Cricetulus griseus: one gene and its partners. The protein of the gene in region 1 interacts with the protein of each later gene in a biochemical or structural test. Links are inferred from orthologs where the notes say so. Each region holds a gene or a part of one and is shown on either strand. Other genes may lie near its edges. The genes, in order: Ptges3, Hsf1 and Tert.

Region 1 (3,650 bases):
TATACATTAGTAATTTTTTAAAAATCATGTTTATATATATGACAATGTACATGGAGTCATCTTGTAGGTCCCCACAATACTAAGCTTTAAAAGGTGATGTTGAGGAGCTGGTTGAGAACACTTGTTCTTGCAAACGACCAGGGTTTGACTTCTGGCAACCACATAATGGCTCATAGTCCTCTGCATAACTCCATTTCCTGGCACTCTGACACTGTCTTTGGACCTCCAGGGCACCAGGTTCCCTGATGGTGCAGACACATAAGCAGGCAAAAAACACCCATACACATTAAAAGGAAAAGCACATTAAAGGACTACAGGGTAGAGGATGCCACTACGAGAACTCACCTCAGAGAAACGGTCAAAATTGGACATATCTTCATCTGAATCATCCTCCCAGTCTTTCCAATTGTTGAAGTCCACACTCAGCCAATTGAGCTACACACAGATTAACAAAAGCATCACCACATGTTATGATTTTTGAACGTACATCCACTAAGGGTACATAAATTAGCACAAAAAAGACAAAAACCCAAGTGAAACCAAAACTGGACAGGCTCCAACTATATAGCCCAGTGTGCTGGCTATGTTTTGTCATCTCAACACTGGTTAGAGGCCTGAGAGAAGGGAATCAACTGAGAAAATGCCTCTGTAAGATCAGGCTAGAGGTAAGCCTGTAGAGTATTTTAATTAGTGATTGACAGGGGAGGGCCCAGCCCACTTTGGGTAGGGTAATCCCTAGGCTGGTGATCCTGGGTTCCACAAGAAAGCAGACTCAGTAAGCCATGGGGAACAATCTAGTAAGCAACACCCCTCCATGGCCCCTGCATCAGCTCTGGCCTCTAGGTTCCTTCAGTGATGGACTATGCCTGTGGAAGTGTAAGCAAAATAAACCCTTTCTTCTCCAAGTTGCTTCCTATGGTTTTCACCACAGCAATAGTAAGCAACCCTAAGACATCCAGGCAAGCTTGTCCCAATTTGTTTTAGCATCAAACGTGCCACCAACTCCTGATGCGAAAGCCTGTTGTGTCTCTTGAATGCTAAATTTCTGTCATCAACTGGGGACTTCCTGACACTTGGCAAGAAAGCGAAGTGCAGGACACTGTTTTCATACTATTAAAGACTACACAGAGAAACCCTGACTCCAAAAACAACAAAAAGCAAACCAAAACAACAAAATCTTATTACAAAAATTCATTTTACTTCTCAAGAACAGAAAATGAGAACCCACCTTTGCCCTCTCCTTTGTTAACCTAGGCCATGATTGGCCAGATTCTCCTTTCCGCAAACAACATAAAATTGATCTGTCCGTTCTTTTATGCTTGGAATCCTAAAACAAGAGCATCATCACATCATTTCACCTCTACTGTAAATGGTAAAGAATAGCCTGTCCCATTCTACTTCTCCCTCTCCACTTAACCCCCCCCCTTTTTTGGTGGTAGTGGTGGGGAAGGATTGTTAGAAACCAAACCTAGGACCTTGAAATGTACTAGGGAAGTACTCTGCCACAAAGCTGTACTTCCATAATTTGGCCATTACTGTGCAGCCTGGCTGGTCTTGAACTCAAGACCCAACCTCAGTGTTACTAGTTTTTGGTGATCCTCTATACTAAACTTTCTTTTCTTTGGCTTGTTTTTCTGAAATGGTTCTTCTATGTAGGCTAAGCGGTCTTGCCTCAACTTCCTGAAAAGTCACCTTATAGGCACAAATCACCTATGTGCTTCTTTCCCCAGACACTTAGCTACTAAAATTTCAGATTATTTAGGAAAATGCTTCAAAGGTACTGTCATCTGTCCAGTAACATAAAAACATGTAGGAAGGAAGGTTGCAAAATATGTAACAGGCTCTACAAATAATCAAATAGACTTAATTATTTACTACAGCATTCCCATTTCCTCATAATTTAAATCAGAATAAAGTGTTAATACTACTTACATTTGGATCAATACAATGAAAAAGATCAATTTCATTTAAATGCTTAAAATTATCACTTCCTCCAAGACAACTAAAAAAAAAGAGAAAAATTCAAATCAGCCTCTTTAAACAACAGATCAACAAAAGAAAATAAGCTTTTAAGTTACTCAATTGTCTGAAATAAGTTCTGGGCAACACCGATGAGTGCTGGCTAGTTTTATGTCAATCTGACATAAGCTGGACTCATCTGAGAGAAGGGAGCCTCAAATAAGAAAATGTTTCCCTAAGATTGGGCTGTAGGCAAGACTGCAAGGCATCTATCTTCTCAATTAGTGACTGATGGGAGAGGGTACAGCCCACTGTGGGTGGGGCCATCCCTGTCCTGAAGTCAGTACTAAGCAGCACCCCTCCATGTTCCTACCCTGACCTCTGATGAACAACAGTGGATGCATAAGGCCAATAAACAATATACCCTTTCCTCCCCAAGTTGCTTCTGGTCATGGTGTTTCATCACAGCAATAGTCACCCTAAGACAAAAAGCAAATTACCTGAAAGTGAGTTTGGATTTCTCAAAATTTACATTAACATCTTTACTGTCTTCAACACAAAATTCAATGAATACATAGTCCCTTCGATCGTACCACTTTGCAGAAGCAGGCTGCCTACAAAAAAAAAAAAGATAAATTCAAGCAGGAATTTAATACTTATAACTTCACATTTAATATAACAATGTATCATTTTTTTGAGACAATTTCTCTCTGTAGCCCCAGCTGTCCTTCCTGAACTTGGAGACCCACCTGTCTCTGCCTCCCAAGTGCCGGGATTAAAGGTATAAGCCACTACCACCTGGCCGTTTGAGAGATTTCAAATCCCCTTATCCCTCGTAAAATTTATTATGAATATTATCAATTGCTATTCGTTTATTTTATAGTAATTTAAAAGAAACATTTCTTTGTGTGTGTACACACACAGGCACACACGAATGTGCCTGTAACTTCAGAGAATTATTTGCAGGAGGTGGTAATTGAGACAGAGTCTCTATATAGCCATGGCTTGATTTAGAAGTAACTGTGTAGAACTATGATCCTCCTGGCTCTGTCTCCTAAATGCTGGATTACAGACAGAAGCCCGAAGGTCTGGCTTAGTGTTGCTGATATGCACCTGTGTGCAAGTGCCCACAGAGGTCAGAAAGGCTGGAGTGACAAGCAGTTGTGAACCACCAGATTCAGATGCTGAAAACCAAACTTGGCTTCCCAAGAAAAACAGGGGGAAATTTAAACCACTGAGACATTGCTCCAGCCCCAGCTTAGGAAAAAAAAAAGTATATTTATTTGCGTGTACATGTATGTGTATCTGTATATGAAACTACCCACTACCAAGAACAGCCTACATTTTGATTATAATGGCGGAAAATTTCAGAGACCTGGATAAGGACAAAATCTGCTGTCCTCAGCAGGGCAGGTCTTAGAGGGTACTGGTTTATGCCTATAATCCCAGCATTGGGAAAGCAGACGGAAAAGCACCCTATCTCAATTATAGCATGAGCAAGCCCCTGGGCTTGAACCCAAGCACTAGAGTATTTTAAACAAGATGGGTTTTGTATGGAGTGCCTTTTCCCTTTGGCGCAACCCAGTCTTAGAAATGTTGCTGTTTGCCATGCATGGTGGTGAACACCTTTAATCCCAGCACTCAGGAGGCAGAAGCAGGCCAGTGTGGTCTACAGAGCCAGTTCTAGGACA
Region 2 (3,650 bases), on another chromosome or scaffold:
AGCTAGACCAGATGAGGGCTCACTAGCACCACCCAGCTCTGCTAGTTCTGCTATACTTCCAGGGGAGGATTCAAGTGTCAGCCGGGGAAGGAGGCCATGGATAGAGCCTGATGGTACACTTCAGGATCCTAGCTGAAAGGGGGGCCACAGGACTTGTCACAAACTGGCTAGACATACAGAGCAGGGCATTGGGAAAGATACTAAACTGCTGAGTACCCTCAGGTTGGGGGTAAAGGGCAGCTGAGGACTGTGATGCCCTGTACTGAGTGATAAAGGAGGAGTAGGGGCCACTGGGAATAGAGAACAGTGGGGAGATCTGGCCCCAGGACTGTTCTGGTCAGCTCCTGCCAGCCTGGTTTTAAGGGAGGCACATGCAAGGAGGGTCTGTATGCTCAAATCCTGAAAATGTGGAGCCCAGCAGGGCAGTGAGAAGTGGGTACAGTAGGAAGTTCCAACTCTATTCTATGGAGATGAATAGGCCACAGTTTTTGCCACAGAAACAATGGAAGGCAGGTTGGGAAGGGGGAGGGAATCCTGAATGGCTCTGCACAATAAAGACCCAAAGCAACCTGGCCACCCTCCTGAGCCTTGGGACCTACTGTTTCATGGCCAGGAGCTTGGAATCCATACACTCCTGTTTCCCCTTCATCAGCTGCACATCCGTCAACAGCCTGGTGACACTGTCCTGGCGTATTTTTATGTCCTCACTCTTCAAGGTGGACACCTAAGGGTTGGGGCATACAAGAGTCTGAAGTGGCTCTGGAGTGTGGTTGGCTCTTGTGCTTCACCTGGAAATCTAAGGAGTGGGGAGAGTCTGGGAAACACTGGGAGGGGGAGGAGGAGGGGTTAGAGAAAGATGAGTAAAAGTACAGGCTATGCTTTCAGGCTAGTCTTGCAGCACCACCTAGCTACTACTCCCAGCCCATAGCCTGCAGGGAGATATGAGGACAGGGAGGGGCTGTACTCAGGGCTTGTGACTCACGCTGGTCACTTTCCTCTTGATGTTCTCAAGGAGCTGTTCCTGGCCACGCAGGAAACATGGATGCTGGAACTCGGTGTCATCCCGCTCAGGCTTGACCAGGCCACCGTGCTCAATGTGGACTACTTTTCGGAAGCCATCTGTGCATATGGGGGTGGGGCAGTTCTGCTTGAGGACCAGGAACCAGACCCCCAACAGCCTAGTCATAGCCTAGGGCAGGCAAGGGGCCTTCTAAAAAACTGTAGGAAATTCTGGCTGGTGTCCATTTACCATAGCTAGTTAATCATGGTTTGAAAAGACCTTGTCATTGCTCAGCTTCCTCTCTTGCAAATGGAAGTATAGCTACTAGGGTAGGGTCTCATACACTCTTTCTTCCTTGGGGAATTCAGGCTTACACCCACAAGGATCCTTCCTTAGCCAACCCAGGCTTTATTCTCTCAGCAATATGTTGGGGTCTGTTTCTCCACACCCTTGGGAAGGAGGCTACCATTCCACAAGAGGTACTTACACATGTTGAGCTGCCGCACGAAGCTGGCCATGTTGTTGTGCTTGAAGTACTTGGGGAGCACTTCCTTGGCAAACTGGCCCTGGTCAAACACGTGGAAGCTGTTCCCACTCTGTCAGGAGACACATGGGCATTCGATATATAGCAGCTGCTGCCATATTTCCACCATGGCCTGAAGCGCCTCTCCATCTCTCTCCAGAGAGAAGCAGGAGGGAGTTCAATCTTAGCACTCTATGGCTGCCATCCAGGCCATGGAGTCAGAGACAGGATCCTACTTCCTGGCAGTTTTCAGTTGCTAACTTTAGACTCATAGATCACCTACAGCATTCTGGTTGTCTCTAGGGACATTTAGCTTTAATCATTTAGCTTTAATCAGCAAATTTTTCCTTAAAAATAACAAAGATCAGCTGGGTGTGGTGGTACATGCCTTTAATCCCAGCACTTGGAAGCAGGGGCAAACAGCTCTCTGTGAGTTCCAGGCCAGCCTGGTCTATAAAGTGAGTTCTAGGACAGCCAGGATACACAGTGAAATCCTGTCTCCAAAAACAAAAGAATAGATAAAATGGAGATAGTTCAGTGATTAAAAGTTCTTATGGTTCTTGTAGAGGACCTGAGTTTGTTTTCCACCACCCACATGGCAGCTCACAGCTGCCAGGAATTCCAAGTTTCAGGTGACCTGATAATCCATTTTTGTTCTCTGTAGGTTTGAATGCATGTGGTACACACATATATGCAGAGACACACAGACATATCACACAGCTCTATGAAGCCAAATTGTGGCAACTAAAGAAACAGGAATGGGATTTCTGCTGCTGGAAGACAGTCCTGCTCAGAAATACCACTCTTTTTTTTGGGGGGTGGGGGGTTGTTTCGAGACTGTCCTGGAATTCACTTTTGTAGACCAGGCTGGTCCAGAACTTACAGAGATCTGCCTCTGCCTCCCAAATTCTGGGATTAAAGGAGCACGCCACCACTGCCTGGCTTCTTTTTAGAACTCAAGATTGTTGAATGCTACATGGCTGCACTTCTGGGCGTGTGCTCTCCTGAACACAGTCCAGAACCACAAGGAGGGGCAGAAGTGCCATGGCAACTCAGAGGCATTAGATCCCGGAGTGGGGAGGCCCCACAGTGGGGAGGGACAGTAGCGTCATGGATGCACAAGACAAATCAGCTAAGGAACAGGTCTCTTCGCTGGGGTGGGGGATCTATAATACAGGCAGGTAGAAAAAATGAAAAGGAGCCCAGTGGATTAGCACTGGGGCTGCTTTCCAAAATGCAGAGGAATGAAACAGGTCTAAACAGAAATAGTAGGGCAGGTGGAAACAGGAGGAAGAGAATGCAAAGCAGCAGGAAAAGCACTGGGGAGGCGGGGGGAGTATGGTATCAGGGAAAGCAGTGGGCTCTTTACATCACACATCCAGTCCCACTCTTCCCCTCAGCTTTGAAACCAGTGGGAGCAATGGCAGTGGGAACATGGGTGAGAGACAGCTCAAGGTCCTGGTGCTAGAGGTCTCTCCAAGCAAGGCTGGCTTTGCTTGATCTGAAGCTGACACAGTCCAGAGGCTCTTTAGAAACATGTAGAGGAAGATTTGAAATGGCTGCTGAGACAATGTATAACACAGGCTAGCCAGAAACCTTAAAAGGTGGTGAATGAGGGATCACTAGGGACTCTGAAATATTCCTGGGAATCCAAAGGCTATGCACACATTACAGCTGTTGCATGTTCAGGGGAGACCTAGGAGGGTCATGAGCTCACCCTCCGGCAGGAATGGGAAATAGGATATAAAGCTGGGTTGTTAACTCCCAGGCTATGTGTTAAAGATAGGAATCAACAGCCAGGCAGTGCTGGCGCATGCCTTTAATGCCAGCATTCAGGGGGCAGAGGCAGGTGGATCTCTGTGAGCTCCAGACCAGTCTGTTCTACATAGTGAGTTCCAAAATAGCCAGGGCTACATAGAGAAACCCTGTCTCAAACAAACAAGCAATTCACCTGGGGACTCAAGGAAGATGAGAACAGGGAGAAACGCATGTCAATAAGCACAAAAATAGGCCAACTGAGGTTACAGTTTGAAGACAGTGTGGTAGTTTGAGTAAGAATGAGCGCTGGGGCAGTGGTGATGCATGCCTGCGATCCCAGCAGAGGCACGTGAATCTCTGAGTTCGAGG
Region 3 (3,650 bases), on another chromosome or scaffold:
GTGGGGGTGGGATGAGGAGTTGGTGGGGGGAGGGAGAGGGAACCGGGATTGGTATGTAAAATAAGATTGTTTTTAATTTAAATAAAAATTTATTAATAAAGAAAAAAATAGCAATATAAATAGAAAATGCCTGCATTTTCAAAATAATGAAGTAACATGCTTCTAAATCACTAAAGAGTATATCAAAAACTGCAATAAATAAATAAATAGAGAAGGTTTTGAACTGAGTGATAATGAACTGACAAAAGCCAGCATGTGTACGGGACTACTGAGGGGTCTTGCAGAGAAATGTATAACTTCAGGTGTTTCCTTGGGATTGGTGTAATGGCTAAGCAAGTAAAGACACCTACCACCAAACCTAAGGACTTAAGTGCAATCCCCAGACCCATGTAGTGGATGGAGAAAATAACTCACACATGCTGTCATCTAGCCTCTACAGAGGCACAATGGTAGCTGCTCTGACCAGAGTAGGGAAGGAATCGCCTGGGTGTAGTGATCCTTGGTGCAGAAGCCACATGGCCACTGCACATATCATGCATGTATAGTTAAAGCTTGCCTGTGAGTCTTGTATGTCCTATATATAGGGAAAGGAAGTCACCTTGCGCCTCTCCCAGGCCTAAATTCCTCTGCCTTTGAACCCACAGACCCCACCTACCTACTGAAGAGGATATTGGGGGGATCTCCATTGGGAGTCCTGTAGAGGGAGGCACGCTGGGGTCTGACAAATGATCACTGGCACCATGGATACCCAAGCCACAGACATGTCCTTGTATGGACATGCCAGAAATGTGGACCTATCACAGCCTTACCTGTGTCACTGAAAGAGTCCAGATATTCACGACATGAAAAGCCCTGTGCCACCAGCATGCTCACAGCACAGATGAAAAGTCCACCATAGCCTCACCTGTCTCCTGAAGGACCTGTGGATTTGGCCTTCTCTATCTCTTTGGATCACTGCATATTGGCGGATACAGTATGTGTTCTCCGGGTGTCTGATCATATTGGCAACAACCTCCACAAGCTTCTCCTGCGGGATGGCATCATATGCCCCGGTCACATCTGCCTGTGGAACACATGTGAACACTAAGCATGGTTGGGCCTAGGCCCAGGGGTCCTGCTGGCTCTGTCCTTGGTGTCTGGGTTCCAACCTGCCCTTAAGCAAACCAGTAGGAGATAGACAGACAGGAGAAAGAAACTCCATGCTCCTGTACTAGCCTAGCCACATGTGCCTATCCCACAAATTTCCCATTCCAGACAAAGGACCCTGGGGCATAGTGGGTCTACATTCCTCTCTCCAGCCCAATATCCCAGATTGAGACCCTTAGGTCAAGGAAAACCTACATTCTCCTTGCAGAGCCTCACAGCCTGCAAGGGCCCCTGCCTAACACAGATACTGAAGCATGCAGGCCCTAGTGGTAGACAGAGTCAATCATGGCTAGTAGGACCCAGCATCCAACGGGATTCTCCTATAGGGTAGATCCCAGAGGAATTGGAGCGCACTGTCCAGGGAATCCACACAAGGCTATCCCAGAAGTATGGGGTCCCCCTGCTCCAGAGAGAACAGGAGGCCACGGTAACTTTGGCCTATATATGGTAGCAGGGGCCAGCACTCTCAACCACCACCTACAATAGGGTCACCCAGTGTTGGCTGCTCCAAGGAGGTCCCTTGAGTCAAGACCATGGGAGCAAATGTGATGGCGGGAGTCCAAATGATCACCTTAACAAAGTACATCCTGGGTGCCGGGTTCAGAGTGCGTACATGCAGTACAAAGGCCCGCCAGGTCCTGTAGACATCATTCAGGCCCAGTACAGAAGCCCCCAGAAGGTTAGTATGTTTTGTCCGTTCATAGTTGAGCACGCTGAACAGAGTCTTGAGACACTGGGTGAAATGCTGAGCCTGGGCCAGGGCCACAAAAGACACATTAGAAACGAACCTGACAGACTGTCCCAGACTACCCTGATATCTCAGAGTCTTAGAAGACCTATCCCACTAAGTCACTTGACTGCATTTGGGGCACTCACCCAACCTGCTCCAACCTGTTCTCACCTACCACCAAGGGCACTGCCGTCTAATGAGACATGTCCACTGGGCTGGGGTCAGGTTCAGGATCAACTTCACTCACAAATGTCCCCCAGCTGGGCTGAGGCATCAATAGCTTCACTTTGTGTTCTGGGCATTACTAATGACAAGTCACCCCACACACCTTACATTGGCACCGGGAGGGGTAAGATGTTGTGGACATCCAGCTATGGTGAAGGGAGGCAGCTGCCCTCTTGGTTACTTTGGCCCCTATCATGGAGGCCATAAAGTATCTACCCTACCTGTCAGGATCCCTGAGGTATCTCCAAGGTTTGTGTCCCAAGCCCTTTGGCTCTTGAGACCATCTCCCATCTGTAGGGCCTTTTCACACGCTGAAGTTTTGGACTTGGGAACAACCAGTTCCTCGTCCTTCCTGTTCTGTCTGCCCAGGGCTCAGAACTTCATGAGCCCTTGTGTAACCAGAGAGCAGGCTCAAGCGGCAGTACAGGAGCCAAGTGCAATCACCTGCTTCCCTTTATTAAAGGCTCTGGCGCCCATGCTATAACTCATGTTCACAATGGGCCGAAGACCACTGGGCTTGGGGATGAAACGCAGTCTGCAGATGGGCATGGCTGGCCAGGCCTCCTGGTGCTGCCTGACCTCCTCTTGTGACAGTTCCTGCAGCTGCACTCTCTCAAGGTGTTGCCTGTTACAGAGAGCATTGTGGAGTTACGACATGAGCATGTGGGAAATTCGAGAGACACATCCCATCAGGGTGGTTAGGAACTTGGGTCATTTGACAACTGGCCAAGCTATGGGACTACATCCAGGACCATAGCAACTCTCGACAACCAGGCAACCCACACAACTGTCTGGGCAGGATACATGACATAAAGCCTGTGTTTGCACTTGGGACATCTGATCCCGTAGTCTGCCCTCGTGTTCCCTTCTGGGGTGATCCCATTGGCCAGGGCACTTTTGAAGCAATCTGCTGCACTCTGTGGATAACCTGGCTTAGACACAGGTGTGAAAGCAAAAAGCATCCCTGCCCACCTCAGGTTCATGTGTGCCAAAGTACATAGGAAGTCCTGTGTTGGCTGCTAAGGATCCCACAAGCACAGTGGGTGATATGTAACACATAATGAGGGTTGGACTTCATGAAACATGGAGCCGGGTGGCGATGGCACACACCTTTAATCCCAGTGCTCAGGAGGCAGAGGCAGGAGAACCTCTGAGTTCAAGGCCAGCTTTGTCTACAGAGCTAGTTTCAAGACAGCCAGGGCAACCTTGGTTAACATGGCAGTCTGATCTCTGCAGGCCTTGCCTGGCATCTATTCTGCCTCCTCAACTTGGTCTATGTACTTTCCACTGGTACAGTAAATCCCAGCTCAACAAGCAAAGAACCTCAGCCACTCAGCGCCTCCGCCAGCTCTTGGGGTGGAATCTTGTGGTTTCCCACTGAGGAGGCTCCTCATATTGTACTTCCTTCAGGACATAAGGTAGAACCCATCTGACCCATGTACCAAACAAGCAGCTACTCTACTCCTGTTTGGTGCGAATTCCTCCTACGTTATTGAGCCTATAGATGGTGTAGGCCCAACTTAAGATTTTACAGGTCAGAAAGCAGGAT

Evidence for each region.
Region 2: the proteins of Ptges3 (region 1) and Hsf1 form a complex in vitro, tested with the Homo sapiens proteins (2 studies listed by BioGRID). The link is inferred for Cricetulus griseus from reciprocal best matches to the Homo sapiens genes PTGES3 and HSF1.
Region 3: the proteins of Ptges3 (region 1) and Tert form a complex in vitro, tested with the Homo sapiens proteins (2 studies listed by BioGRID). The link is inferred for Cricetulus griseus from reciprocal best matches to the Homo sapiens genes PTGES3 and TERT.

Annotation. Positions count from the first base shown.
Region 1 is NW_023276806.1:129,798,654-129,802,303, forward strand, and holds part of Ptges3 (prostaglandin E synthase 3), read right to left. Parts: intron 2,574-3,650; coding exon 2,460-2,573; intron 2,003-2,459; coding exon 1,933-2,002; intron 1,328-1,932; coding exon 1,229-1,327; intron 436-1,228; coding exon 346-435; intron 1-345. UniProt on the Homo sapiens protein: Cytosolic prostaglandin synthase that catalyzes the oxidoreduction of prostaglandin endoperoxide H2 (PGH2) to prostaglandin E2 (PGE2).
Region 2 is NC_048595.1:373,787,163-373,790,812, reverse strand, and holds part of Hsf1 (heat shock factor protein 1), read right to left. Parts: intron 1,597-3,650; coding exon 1,488-1,596; intron 1,120-1,487; coding exon 983-1,119; intron 725-982; coding exon 600-724; intron 1-599. UniProt on the Homo sapiens protein: Functions as a stress-inducible and DNA-binding transcription factor that plays a central role in the transcriptional activation of the heat shock response (HSR), leading to the expression of a large class of molecular chaperones, heat shock proteins (HSPs), that protect cells from cellular insult damage.
Region 3 is NC_048595.1:368,307,576-368,311,225, reverse strand, and holds part of Tert (telomerase reverse transcriptase), read right to left. Parts: intron 2,727-3,650; coding exon 2,546-2,726; intron 1,898-2,545; coding exon 1,718-1,897; intron 1,064-1,717; coding exon 905-1,063; intron 1-904. UniProt on the Homo sapiens protein: Telomerase is a ribonucleoprotein enzyme essential for the replication of chromosome termini in most eukaryotes. Active in progenitor and cancer cells. Inactive, or very low activity, in normal somatic cells.